2 linked regions of the Neodiprion lecontei genome follow. The protein of the gene in region 1 interacts with the protein of each later gene in a pairwise test. Links are inferred from orthologs where the notes say so. Each region holds a gene or a part of one and is shown in the gene's direction. Other genes may lie near its edges.

What was found.
Region 2: the proteins of uncharacterized protein LOC107226405 (region 1) and serine/threonine-protein kinase polo interact in a two-hybrid assay, tested with the Drosophila melanogaster proteins (2 studies listed by BioGRID). The link is inferred for Neodiprion lecontei from reciprocal best matches to the Drosophila melanogaster genes ko and polo.

Annotation. Positions count from the first base shown.
Region 1 is NC_060260.1:27,351,447-27,356,606, reverse strand, and holds the start of uncharacterized protein LOC107226405, read left to right. Parts: upstream 1-2,038; 5' UTR 2,039-2,334; exon of another isoform or gene 2,335-2,605; intron 2,606-5,160.
Region 2 is NC_060263.1:23,619,777-23,627,975, forward strand, and holds serine/threonine-protein kinase polo, read left to right. Parts: upstream 1-2,142; 5' UTR 2,143-2,293; coding exon 2,294-2,386; intron 2,387-3,347; coding exon 3,348-3,572; intron 3,573-3,782; coding exon 3,783-4,000; intron 4,001-4,247; coding exon 4,248-4,543; intron 4,544-4,716; coding exon 4,717-5,010; intron 5,011-6,499; coding exon 6,500-6,900; intron 6,901-7,040; coding exon 7,041-7,238; 3' UTR 7,239-7,818; downstream 7,819-8,199. UniProt on the Drosophila melanogaster protein: May play a role in regulating both nuclear and cytoplasmic aspects of the mitotic cycle. Regulates localization of the augmin complex during mitosis by ensuring its location on mitotic spindles.

The DNA of each region.
Region 1 (5,160 bases):
TAACCATCAGGAGAGTTTATCAAAGTTAAGGTATCCTTATTCGTATCCAACCTTAAAGGAATCCCCGGTATGGCGGGTGGTGCTCAAAGTAGGTACTCGGTTTGTTTTAGTAATCGAACCACTGCACTCGAGTATATCAAAGCATGCTCGATAAGTGGGAAATCAAGTATGCTAAGGTAAGAAATAAAACGATAATTCAAACCGGAAGATCTTGTAGAGTTCACCGTCGGTTTTATGCCACTAAATGATGTCAACCTTTATTTTAATTAGGAAAACTGTTTCTATAGCATGAAAATTGTTCAATCAGGCACTCAGTTTTCCTTTTATCTAGCAACGAGTATAATTATAACAGTAAGAATAATAATATTCATAGAATATCACAAAAATCAGGGTTCTCACCTTATTTCCCTCGTCAGGAAATGGCTTTCGCACTGACTCATCGCTTTTAAATTGCGATTTAAACGCGTATCCGATTATAGAGATATTTTCTATTCAACAAGTTCGGATCGAAGGATAAAATTTCGAAAACTCGAACATCGCCGACCGGCAACGATTATCCGGGAGGCGTGGCCAGGACATTTGTCGACTCACGTCCTGCCGTCATGGTTTCAAAGGAAGCGTTGAACAGTTTCGTGCCGAGGTTAAAAGTAGCCGCGAAGTCCTTTTTCCCGGGCGCCCATCGCCCCGCAGCATTGGTTTGGACCAGGTAGCAGAGTCAGGTACGAATAGCTTGCCGAAAGTAGCATTTTCACTTGGATCATCTTTTATTTCGCCCGTCATGATAGCTTTGTGCTTTATCTTACCCCCCCTCCCGTAAAATCCGTTCCAGCTATTCCCCTAATTCGTGATGCTCGAAACAAGAGTGAAGCCATTCCTTCGATCGCTTTTTCAACCCTCTTCAAATTCCCGTGCGGCTCCGCCACGTTGGGGCAACCCTAAAGCGCCAGGCAACCCCCAAATCGACACCCCCTATCCAAATCTCACCCTGTACGTCGACGTACGATACACGCATGTGAACCGCCTGCATCTATTTCCCATTCAAACAGCTGTCGTCCTTCCTTCTTCTCTTTCTCTTCACATCTTCACCTCTCTCTCTCTCTCTCTGCCTCTCCCTCCCTTTTCCGTCCTTCGCTATACCGCGTTCGTAGCGCGCGTTCCGCTAACGTTGAGACTAGCTGACCAACCGGTTCTCAACACTCTGATTACACTCCTCTCGCGTTATTAGACTGGTCTCGGGGCTCTTGGAGATGGGATTTCTTCTTCACATCTTTCGCTGGGTTTTTAACTCCGAGTAGAGAATCGGACTTATAACGAGAGAGTATTACACTTTGACTCGTGTTCAGAGCTTGAGATTCGATTTGTCTGAAAACCAATGATCATACATCAACTATCCCTAAGAATTCAGCAAAAGGGGCTCATCAGACACCATGTGCACCTACAAGGAAAGCACCCGAGGTGTACCTCATGGATTTTCTTAATTCACAAAACTTAAACACGTTTTTTCGTTCAATTGCTGATTCGGTAATTCTGAGGTGTAAAAACCACCCTCAAGGCTCGGACCCAACAAACAATTTTTCAGGAATTTAGGAATAAAATCAATCGCACACTATTCACCATCAACAAAGAACGATATGCACAGTACAGTGTTTCCCATTCGAGGGTCGCATTCATTATTTTCTGGGTGTACGTTAGGAGTGATTCCCATCCTTTAAACGGCCGAATTGGCACCTGCAAAAACATTCTTGTCCAATATTTTACGATGCACAACAACATGTCCAAAAGAAAAAGAAAATCGGTAAGGTACATCTCAGCTATTTTCCTAATTGTTAGTCAGGAGATTCCGGCGATTGAAACGCAGAGTCCTTCGGGGTAAGCCATGAAGTGCACGGCACAGTCCCTATCTAGCATCCAGCATCCAGCGTACGTATCGTGGACCGTGGCCACGATCGCAGGAGGGAGAGTCGACGGGATCCGGGCGTCCTCTGAGACAGGCGAGACTCGAGTTGGGGCCGGCGGGCAGCCAATGCTGCCAGTTTGTTGGCTCCCTCCGCTGAGCGGCCGTTCCCGTCGCCGAACCCGAAGTCCTCCGACTCTCGAATGCCGCTCTGTCGCCGTCGTTCGCAGTTCCTCCGGCCTTTCGTGCGTTTAGTATGACGCCGACAATCGAACCGTCTGCACCTGTCGCGCTGTCTCCTCGCGGAAAAACCAGATCCAGGAACGAGTCGCGGATTATTCTGCTCATCGCTGGCTGGTGTCGTTTCCTCGATCATCTCAGGGTCTAGTTTCACTCCCGTATTTCAATCGAGACCGAGCTGGAATTCCGGGTGGCTTGAGGTACATTAACTATTTGGAAAATACCAATCGGGCGGAATTTTTCGTTGTGGATTTCCGCATTCCCAGTTACAAGTGAATTTCACGTGTGCTTAAACAGTGATCAAGTTTTAGATTCGATACATACACGTAAATATACGTACATACGTACAAGTATAAGTATAACGAAACTTTGGCAAACTTGTACGACCGTTTATTGTACGAAGAGTTTATCACTGTCGAAGAGTGCAGCGACATGTCGCTTTACCAACTTGGATATTAAACACTTTGACTGGTGAGTCTTTAACGAATCGAGTACAATTAGTCAATCTTCGGTCCTTCGAGGAATATGACAATTCTCTTTTTTATTACGAAAAATAATTGTCCCTACATACACAGGTGAAATTTTTATTCGCATTCCAGAAACCCAAATTGTGTCTAGAATTAATGTTTTTTTTTTTTTTTTCAAGCCACTCACGTGTGAATATAGTGAACGGAGCGTTGGGTGATAGTAGAGCCGATTTTCCCTTTCTCATTCAGCAAATCTAAGTGTCGTAAAATGTTACGTAAGCCGGATTCGATCCTTTCAATTAACAGTTTGAGGTGTAATTGTGCAACGATACAATCATTCGGATCTAACCGCCTTGTCGCACTGTTTTATATACCTATATCTTCTGACAGGTAGAGGAATAAAACGATTAATCTCAATTCATTGCGCCGCAAGGACACAACTTTGCTGCACATAATCACTAGAGTAATAGAATTATTGAGGTAACAGCGCTGTTATAACCCAGTCATTAATTGCACTTCTTATCGCAATCGACACGAATTCGCACTGCGCGATTTTATTCGCTTGAGGATGTCAAATGGGCTTCACGGTGAAAGATCCGTCGTAATTTCTTTTCAATTCAAATGATTATCAAACCGTGCCTAAATCGTGATCTCGCCTGAATGTAGGCAACGGCACCTGAGAATACCTAGCTGGAAGAAGCCGATGAAAGGGCCGCGCAAAAACGTGAGAAGTCGGCCGTGAATCTAAAATTTACTCTACGTCATCAGCTGCGGCTTCCACCAGTCAGATGTGCAGAGTCGCGTGCTGCTCCAAGCTGTTCTCGGCTTTTACAGTGCCGATGTCACTGCTCTGCGAGCGCTAATGGGACGCCGATATCCCATCCTATTTCGAGAATATGGATAAACACATTATTAGGTGAAAATGACTCTGCGATTTACGCTAATCGAGGTTGTTTGAAAATAAATTATCAATGTTTTTCAATCAGAAAAGCAATTTTAATAAATAACAAACTGTTAGAATGTTTTATTGCGACAACAATGTAATTTTTTAAGTAATTAAGAATAAAATCGTTTCAATTAAATTTGTTGAGTACTTATGCGACCAAACAAACGACTTTATTTCTACCTATAGACAACGTTTATTTCATTGAATAAAAATGTTTTTGTTCATTAAGCAGAAAGACTTATGAGTCGTATGAAATTGTTTTTTTTTTTTTTTTTTCTTTCATAAGTACGTCTGCATATAGGTAATTATTTGTTGGGCGTGGCTTTTCTATAAACAATCAGAAACAATCGTTTGATAGAAAAAAAAATGTTGAAGCAATGGTTCCGAATTCGATCTAGTTTATCGAAAGTTGTGAATTCTCAACTGGGTGGAAAGCTACTTTTTGCAGAAACGTAATGTATCGTGAATAATATCTGAATTACGTTGAACATTTTCGAGCTTTATAAACAAGGAATATAAAAAACGTATTGATAAATGGAAGCTGTTACAAACCGATTGGTAATATCATTCAAAACATTAATGGAATCCGTTAAGCGAACGTGCCAAATAAATCGCTAATGACGATGGTCGTACATTTCATCGATTCGCACAATTTTGCTATCAGGTAATTTACCGTTACGTCTTTTACCATTGAGAAGATGAATTTCAAGTGATTTAATTGACCAGGAATTCGGATACATGCATAGCCTTGTAGAAGATTCTATGCGTTCAATCGCATGCGCATAACCGAAAGAAGATGCAGGCGGTACAGTTTAAGATCGATAGAGTTGGTTTTAAAATCTTGCCCGACCCAGATAGAATTCCGCATCTCATAAACACCGCAGAATGATAAGTTATTCGTTTGCTGGTATTTACAAAACGTTTACAGCTGGTCTTACGGTACACATCCACCGCACAGTGTGAATAAATACGGGATAATTACGGTTATACTTGATAGTTGGTGTTCAGTTCAGTCGGCTAATTTGTCCCACATCAAGATAGGCAATCCCTGAAGATGCGGTCCGTGAGACGCCCGCACATCCTATCTCGAGATGATCGTCTATGGTAGGGGCGTAATGGCTCGGTCTACTCCTACTGCGCGCCTCGCAATTAGCCCGTAATTTCATTTGATTCATTAGCCGCGCCGGATCCACCGGCACCGTGAAGCTGGAAAAATATAACAACTTTGTCCTGCGCTTTCACGGCGTTGCTCGAGGGAACTCATCGATCCAGATATCTCCTAGATTTATGAAAAAATAGGGAAGTCGACTGGGTTTCAAGAAAGTGAGCTAGCCGTTGCAGACCTAAGAAAAAGCAAGACTTCAGTCTGGTAACTGGAAGTCGTCGTTGCAGTCTGTTAAGGTTCGAATATACGAAATTTCATTCCAATCGATAACATAACATAAATGTTTCTTTGAATGTTCAGTCATACAGCTAAATCTGTACGACACTAAACTCAGCGACCAATTCGTGTCTATAACCTAAGGTAAACAAACTGCATATTTTCCAAATCTAGTGTCGCGTGTAATTGCGTGGGCGGCGAGGTGTTAATTGTGAATAGGCGAAGCCGAGGC
Region 2 (8,199 bases), on another chromosome or scaffold:
AAAATTAAAATGATCCCACTTAGTAATTATCATACATATACAAGCCCACTGCCATTATTATTATTATTATTATTATTATTATCGTTGTTGTTATTATTATCATTATTGGTTTTATCCTCATAAATAAGTAAAAATTACACAATAGTTTATATCCCCATTACGGTTTATCGTATTTTTGCATCATTTTATGATTGTTTTAATTTATGCAAATATAATTGAAGCAAAATATTGCTACAGAAAAATTGAATGTATTGTTTGTTAAAAAATGGATGCAATATATTATTCCAATAAAAAACTCTTCACATTATTTTTCATCTGCGGTATGATAACATTTTTTGTCTGAAAATAGAACTGCCATAATATGAATTTCCACCCTTGAGAGGCAATAATGGTTGATTAAATGAATATAAGGTGACAAGAACTTATAGTGGTCTCATGAAGAATCATTGATATTTAGGGTTTCGATTTGATCTTCAAACAATCAGTCCCCATCATCTCGCGAATAAATACAGTAAATATTTTCCGAAGTTTGATATCGTGTGAAACCTTTACGAAATTATTAATATACTTGTACTAGGTGAAATTCTGATTTTCAATTCAGTGTTTAAAAAACTTTAAGGGGGTGGTTTACTTGATTACGACGTTCTTGTATAAATTTCCAAATACCGAAATCACGTATCTCAAGCGCGAAAGAAGGGCCCAACAGCCCCATTTTATACGCAATTCTGAACAAACACACTCCGATATAATTTCATTTGACGCAGAAATAAAGAAATGGTATGGATTCTAAGAAATCGCAATAGTAAATTCGTAGAATTCATGCCATTTCTTTATTTCTGCATTAATTGAAAATGTATTGTATCGTTTTTGTTCAGCATTTTACCTTCTTCACGTTTGAGATATGCGGACTTTGATATTTGGAGATACATTCGCCAATGTCGAAATCGACCAGGGTACCCGCTTAAGGTACTGTACTCAACATTTTATTGGTCCCGTCAATTCGACGATATAATACACGATTGGGTAAATATCTAGCGTTTTGCGATTTAGGTGCATATATGACAACCGCTAAGAACGCGTGATGATGCGGGTAATTATACATTTTTAATATCTAACTAAAACGGTCGGTTCCGTTAGTTTCGTGTTGCGTGGCACATTTTTGCCAGTAGTGTGCTTAGGTCCGAATTTATTGGCCAATCAGATTCAACCTGTATCGTCTTTTAGTCCTTTAAAGGAAATAATAGTAAAGAAATACAAAAGGGATTTTTTACGATATTTATTTTTTTCCGATATGAAGCATACAAAAATGTTACGTGTGGAACGTGAAAGTAAGTGAATATTCGGACAACTATAGTATTGAGTATTCAGAACGGCCAAGCATCCAAGACTATAGTTGTAAAAACGATCGAACTGCTGTTTGATTAGAAATTAGGATTTACACGATATTGTTTTTACTACAATAAATCCCTGATTTGAATGTTTTGACCGGTATTTTGTGTTTTTTTTTTTTTGTTAGTCTTTACCAGCAAATTGATATGTGGTCTTCTATGTCATACATCATACGATGTCTGGTCATTTATTCCTCCAGGTATGAGTGTATCAAATTTGAGTAATATTATTTGGATTAGAAAATCTGAATACATCCCACAATAATGCCCATAAAGTCGACACCAGCACAAAGATTGGCAAATTTCTGTGAAGCACGAAATATTTTTTCTCGATATGAAGCGGTCTTAACATCAATGAAACTTATAGGATATATCAATTATATCACCTCACATACCGTGTAAAATTTTCAATAAAAATCACGAAAATTGGGTTTCCCTAATTTTCGAAAAACGAACGTCGTTTCGTCAGTTTTCGAAAATCTTGAACTTTCTCTGCATATTTCAAAAGAGTGCAAGAAACTCTACAAAATTTGACCAAGATCTTGGGATATGTTCCGATATACACTAAGAGCACTGTTCAGTGCTCTTACTGATCAAGTTTAATTAATGCTCATCGAAAAATACTGTACAGGCTGCCCATGGGTAAAGCCTCGATGGCGAAGCGTACCAACAACAGAAAATTCGGATGTCACGTGACAAGTGGGACGTACGCTATTGGCTGGAACATCTGGATTCAAACATTAGAATCCGTTGCCCGTTCAACACGAAACAGCAGCCAGTTGAGGGCGAGTAACCAAGAGAAGCGGCCTTCGGTGTTACTACGTGTCTTATAACTGTGATTTTAACCGATTTCTAAGTTTTATACCTATACTGGACTGTGGCTCGAATTACCCGGAACAACAAAGATGTCTAAACATGACAAAGACAACGTTATTCCCGATATAATCCACGATGGAAATACGGGAAAGAGCTATATTAAGGGTCGTTTCTTCGGAAAGGTGAGTCTCCTCGAATATTAATCAACGTGTTGTCTCTCTTGCATCCTTCCCATGCCGAAAAATAGCAAAATCCTCGATCGCCGGCTTTGAGGGCGAAGCCAAAGATGAGTCAATCCTAAAGCCATTTCAACTTTCTGGGAATCAGTAGATTGAAGGCGAATTGATCAAACAATCAGATTCTGACACAAACACATTAATTCCTTCGAACAGTATTGCGGGACAACTGATTTATCGTTATTACTCTCTTCTTTTCCGATTAATCATTCTTCTCTGTATTACACATCAATCTAAATCTTTCGTTCATGTTTTCTTTATTCCTTACAACTAATTACACTACGTTTTGCATGCAGTGTCAATAGTCCTGATTCGGGCTTCTGCAAGGTCAAATTTTTGAACACTGCCACCATCAAGCCCATTGTTGAATTTCTGTTGTGCCCGGAAATATATGCTCTGAGAAATTGATGTTATTACTGGTGGATTAAGTCCAAAACGTCATTTGTCATACAGCTTTCAGCCTTTCACCTAGATATATCCAAACACTTGTTGCTCTTAGCCTTGTAATGTTTTTCAAAAAAACATTGCTTTATTCAAAACCCCATCAAGCATTACATTAGCAGTAACTTACCATTCGAAATTTATTTGCTAATTTCACATAACATGCCCGCAAATGTCAGATAGAATTATTATTTGCCCAAAAGATATCTTTTAACAATAAAGTAGAGCGTATTAGTTACCTCGTGAATTCTGATATACCTTCAGTTCTAGGCTTCCTAATAATTTCATTTAAGCAAAACAGAATTTAGTGAAACAACTTTGTATCAGCTAATATTTTAAGGAATCATTTGATTGATAAAATATTGTTTAAGATGAATCTTATGAATGAAAATTTTATATTTTATAATGAGGAATGATCACAAAAAATATGTTGTGGCGAATCTGTACTATGTTATATTTTTTCTAGGGTGGATTTGCAAAATGTTACGAGATCAAGGAATCGAAGTCTCATCATGTATTTGCTGGAAAAATTGTACCCAAATCAATACTGACAAAAGTCAATCAGCGTGACAAAATGACGCAGGAAATACATATTCATCAAAGTCTCACACACAGACATATCGTCGGGTTTCATGGATTCTTTGAAGATATCCAAAATATTTATATCATATTGGAACTTTGTCGTAAAAGGGTAAAGATTTCACATCAACCTTTTATATTTTATGCATCTTTTCAGAGAAAGCCATATTACTTTTTCAAATGTAAGGAATATACGTTTCATTCATGTAAGATTTCTAATCACCATTTTCTTGTTTGCACAATATCAGACACACTTTCCTCCAGTATACAAATTGGAATACCATGGCGATATATATCTGATTCGTTATATTTATTCTTTCAGTCAATGATGGAGTTGCACAAAAGAAGGAAAGCTCTGACAGAGTGTGAAACACGCTATTACATGAAACAGATCTTGGATGGTGTCGCCTATCTGCACAAGAATAAAATAATACATCGAGATCTGAAACTAGGGAACCTTTTCCTAGACGACGAATTACAAGTAAAAATAGGTGACTTCGGATTAGCTACAAAACTAGAACATGATGGAGAAAGGAAAAAGTAATCTCCTTATTCAATTATTATTATACGTTTATGGGGATCAAGTTTGTAATGTTAACATGGTGATAATTGAAAAATTCATTTCTTTCATTCCTAAAGTTCCAAAATAGGTACTTAAGAAAAACCTTTGTTATGTTAATGTTATCCACTTCAAGCTTTATTTAGAGACATAATTGATCTAAAACTTATTCCAAGTAGCTGGTCTTCGAATGTTAATAAACTACTTTGATTTAATTTCGGAAAATAGAACTTTGTGCGGAACTCCAAATTACATAGCTCCAGAAATTCTGATGAAATCTGGGCATTCCTATGAAGTTGACATCTGGAGTATCGGATGTATAATGTACACTCTTCTTGTGGGAAAACCACCTTTCGAAACATCAAGCCTCAGGGAAACATATGCTAGGATAAAACAAGTGCAATACAAAACTCCAGCTTTTCTGAGCAAAGCTGCAATGAATATGATTGCCAACATGCTTCAAGGGAATCCCACTAAACGGCCCAGTGTTAACAAACTGATCAAAGATGTATTCTTCACATCTGGTATTAAATATTTACTTTCTCAGGTTAAAATTCATAAATTAGAAGCATAAACAGCTGCTTCGTACAGAAATAACCAATTTCTTAAAAGTGAATGGTACCGTACGATTTAAGTGTACAAATGAGTTGTCTGAAAGTCAAGAAATTAAATTCGTTATTATTTACCAAATTCATAGGATTCTTGCCAACAAGTCTTCCAATATCTTGCCTCACAATGGCACCTCGTATGGATGCATTGGAAATGCACAATCAGCGTAAGCCGTTAACTGAAATGAATGGAAATGGATGTGGAGATATAAATGATGTCCTATTCAGAGTTCCGCAAAGTCCTGCTCTCAAGGGTAAAGGTATCGAAATGAGTGAAGAAAAAAAATTGGGTCTCGATATAAAGAAGATGTTACTCACACTAAAAGAACAATTAGCAACTGTACTCAAAACTAAGCCTGCCGTGGACCTCATCGCTTTTGGAGGTACATAGACATATATGACGCCACACGAAAAGTAGTAAATTCACATACTATTCCAGCCACAAATATTACACTACTAACAACCAGTTTTAATTTCACTAATTGATACTGTATATTTCCAATACAGAACGGCCAAGATCCTATCAGATTACCCTGGAAACATCAGGCATGGTTCTTCCAATCCGTGTATAATATTAATATACAATGTGTTTTTGTTCAGTAATCAATGCTTCTATTGCTGCAAATTGAGGACCTATAACAGGGTGGCGACAGACTAAGAAATCCAGGAATAGTCAGGAAATTTCGTCTATCCGGAAAAGTCGTCTATCGGGAAAAGTCAGGGAATTATGATGGATTGTAGGGAAAAAACATACTTTTTTTTTATAATTCGTTTTCAGTCTTCAGCTATGCTTCGTAAATTCAGTTAATCTAACTTTCAGAAATGGTATTGTTTAATCTCTAATTATTTTGTGTGAAACAAAGCAATACTATTTGTTTTTTAGATCCAAATTTATATATTCAAGGTGCGCAATTTCGCGAGATTTTGGTCATAAAAGCTGCCCAATATTACTTAAGTTTTGTGGGAAAACTTCAAAGAATTCTGAATTTTCTGATGGGAAAAGTCAGAGAGTTTTATTTGAGCAAAATTGTCGCCACCCTATTATATCTACTTATTTCCAATATTTAAGACTACAATCATTACAACTGAATTGTTTTACTTTGAAACAGGTCACCAACATTCTAAGTAAAAATAATCAGTGAAAATTGTCCTGGTCAATCATCAAATTTTCGTAGCATGACTAGAAACTTTGCTCGTTTGAATTACCTTTATTCATTTTTAATCAACATATATCTGAAATTCATGCAGAAGTATCTCTATTACAGCAGATTGTTGAGTGTATCTGACTTTTTGATTGAAAACAAAGTAGATGTACATGTAAATTATTTTCACAAAACATCACCATACTTGTTATCTGGAATTGCTTTATTTGAGTCTGTATAAATACTTTGACTCTTATTTATTACCTGTTCTATTATCAACCAGTGATAAAAATGTTGGTCAGTTAAATGCATGACAGTAACAATATTGATGTGCACTGTTTCCCTGTGAATGAATTGCTGTTAACAGAGAAATTATTTGATACAATTGTGTATTCTTTCTGTCAATACCTATTTAAGGTGAACAAAATTCCATTGCTCTTGAACTTATTGCTGTTGTACTATAAGCAGTCTCTCTCTTAAGGTTCACACCTACTAAATTTGACGTATTTAGAGTGCATTTCGCCTTATTTTGGTGTTTTCTGAAGTTGAATGAGTAACTTTTCAACGTGAAATTTTTTTTTCGTCGTCATCGATGGTTCAACAACTCATCTCTGTCTTCCATTGTTAAGCACACATTGTATATTGATGTGTACGATACTAGATTTTTCAACGTGAACTCCAATGACGTGGTGTTTTTTTCTTTGTTCCTTTCTTTCTTCAACTACTTTAGATGAGATGACAGATCCAGATGCACAACCATTTGTTTGGATCAGTAAATGGGTGGACTACTCAGACAAATATGGTTTTGGATACCAATTATCTGACGAAGGAGTTGGTGTGATGTACAACGACGGAACACGTCTGATAATGCTTGCGAACGGTTTCAATGTTCATTACATAAATCGTGAAGGATCAGAAGAATACCATACAGTTAAGGACTATCCGGGTCACCTGGACAAGAAGATGAAGCTGTTGAACTATTTTCAACGTTACATGAATGAACATCTAATGAAAGCTGGGGGATCGGTGGCTGTTAAGCAAAGTGATTCAATGTCCAGGATTCCCTACATGCATCAGTGGTTTAGAACGCAAAGTGCTGTAGTTATGCAGCTGACTAATGGATCTGTACAAGTAATTATAACTCGCACAGTTTTTCTTTTTCATCTCTGACATCCATCTGTTTGTACAATGTGAAAAAATTGTGAAGTTCGTATGAACATTGTGACTGGCCAGTGTTGCATAAATATATATGTCAACTACTTTTTTTTCAGATAAACTTCTTAGACCACACCAAGATCATAATGTGTCCTTTGATGGCTGCCGTCACATACATTGATAGTGAGAAAAACTTCCGAACTTTCAGATTCCAAACGATTCAACAACATGGTTGCACTTCTGGACTAGCAAAGAACTTAGCTTACGCCCATGAAAAAGTTGGTTTTATGCTGGTTACTCCGCAATCACGATAGTTTCATAACTCAATCTAGTACTGATTAAAATAATTAAGCTAATGATTAACCATATTATCATCCAACGGACGAGTAAGCGACGCCACATTCAATGCAAGAAATTTTAATGTCTCTCAACTTTTTTGAAGACACTTTTTATAATTACTGCTAGCTAGGTATCCAGACAGCCTGTTGTTAATTTTAATTATGTATTATTTTTTATGGATAGGTCTATAGTATTTTTCTATAAGCTTTTTTTTATGTGTCGAAAAGTGAGAAAAGTAGTAGGTAGAAGTTGATAAAAAGAAAAACCAAGAAAGTGGAAGAAACTTTTGTGATCATTGAATGATATTTCTAAGCACAAAACGAATAACTATTGAACTTTTAAGTGCGGATGAAATTAATTATATGTGATCCCACCTTAATAAGATATATACGTACACATCATGCATTTTCAAAGCTGGAACTTAATATGATTGTGCTTTCTGAGGACACAGAATACTGGCACTTAGTAAGGTCATTTATTTCAAAAGTACAATAAGCGTGCTACCTCAGATTATTATTTAAATTTTAACAAGTTCAAGCAGGCCAACATTTCTGTTCCAAGGATTCGAAAAAGGGGGTTCTATAATAATTATAAATTAAGAGTTGGAAGAAAATGAAGGACTATTACAATAGATCAGTATCTGTACGTTATCCTTGTAAGGTATCTCAATTGACTTGTTTAAATTTAAGCAACTGTACATACGTAGTGGTTAATTACGTCTTAAAAGGAGTACGATGAATACAAATACTAATCTTCAGAAACAAAAAGCTTCAATATTTCTAATTACGGAGATGAAAATTTTCACTACTACTTTATATTTTTATACATAAATGATTGCGCAGACCCCCCAAATCAATGTCGGAGTATAATTGTACAAAATAAACTGCCTGCACATGTACATTTTTCATCCATTAAAGAACTTATTCATGTAAATGT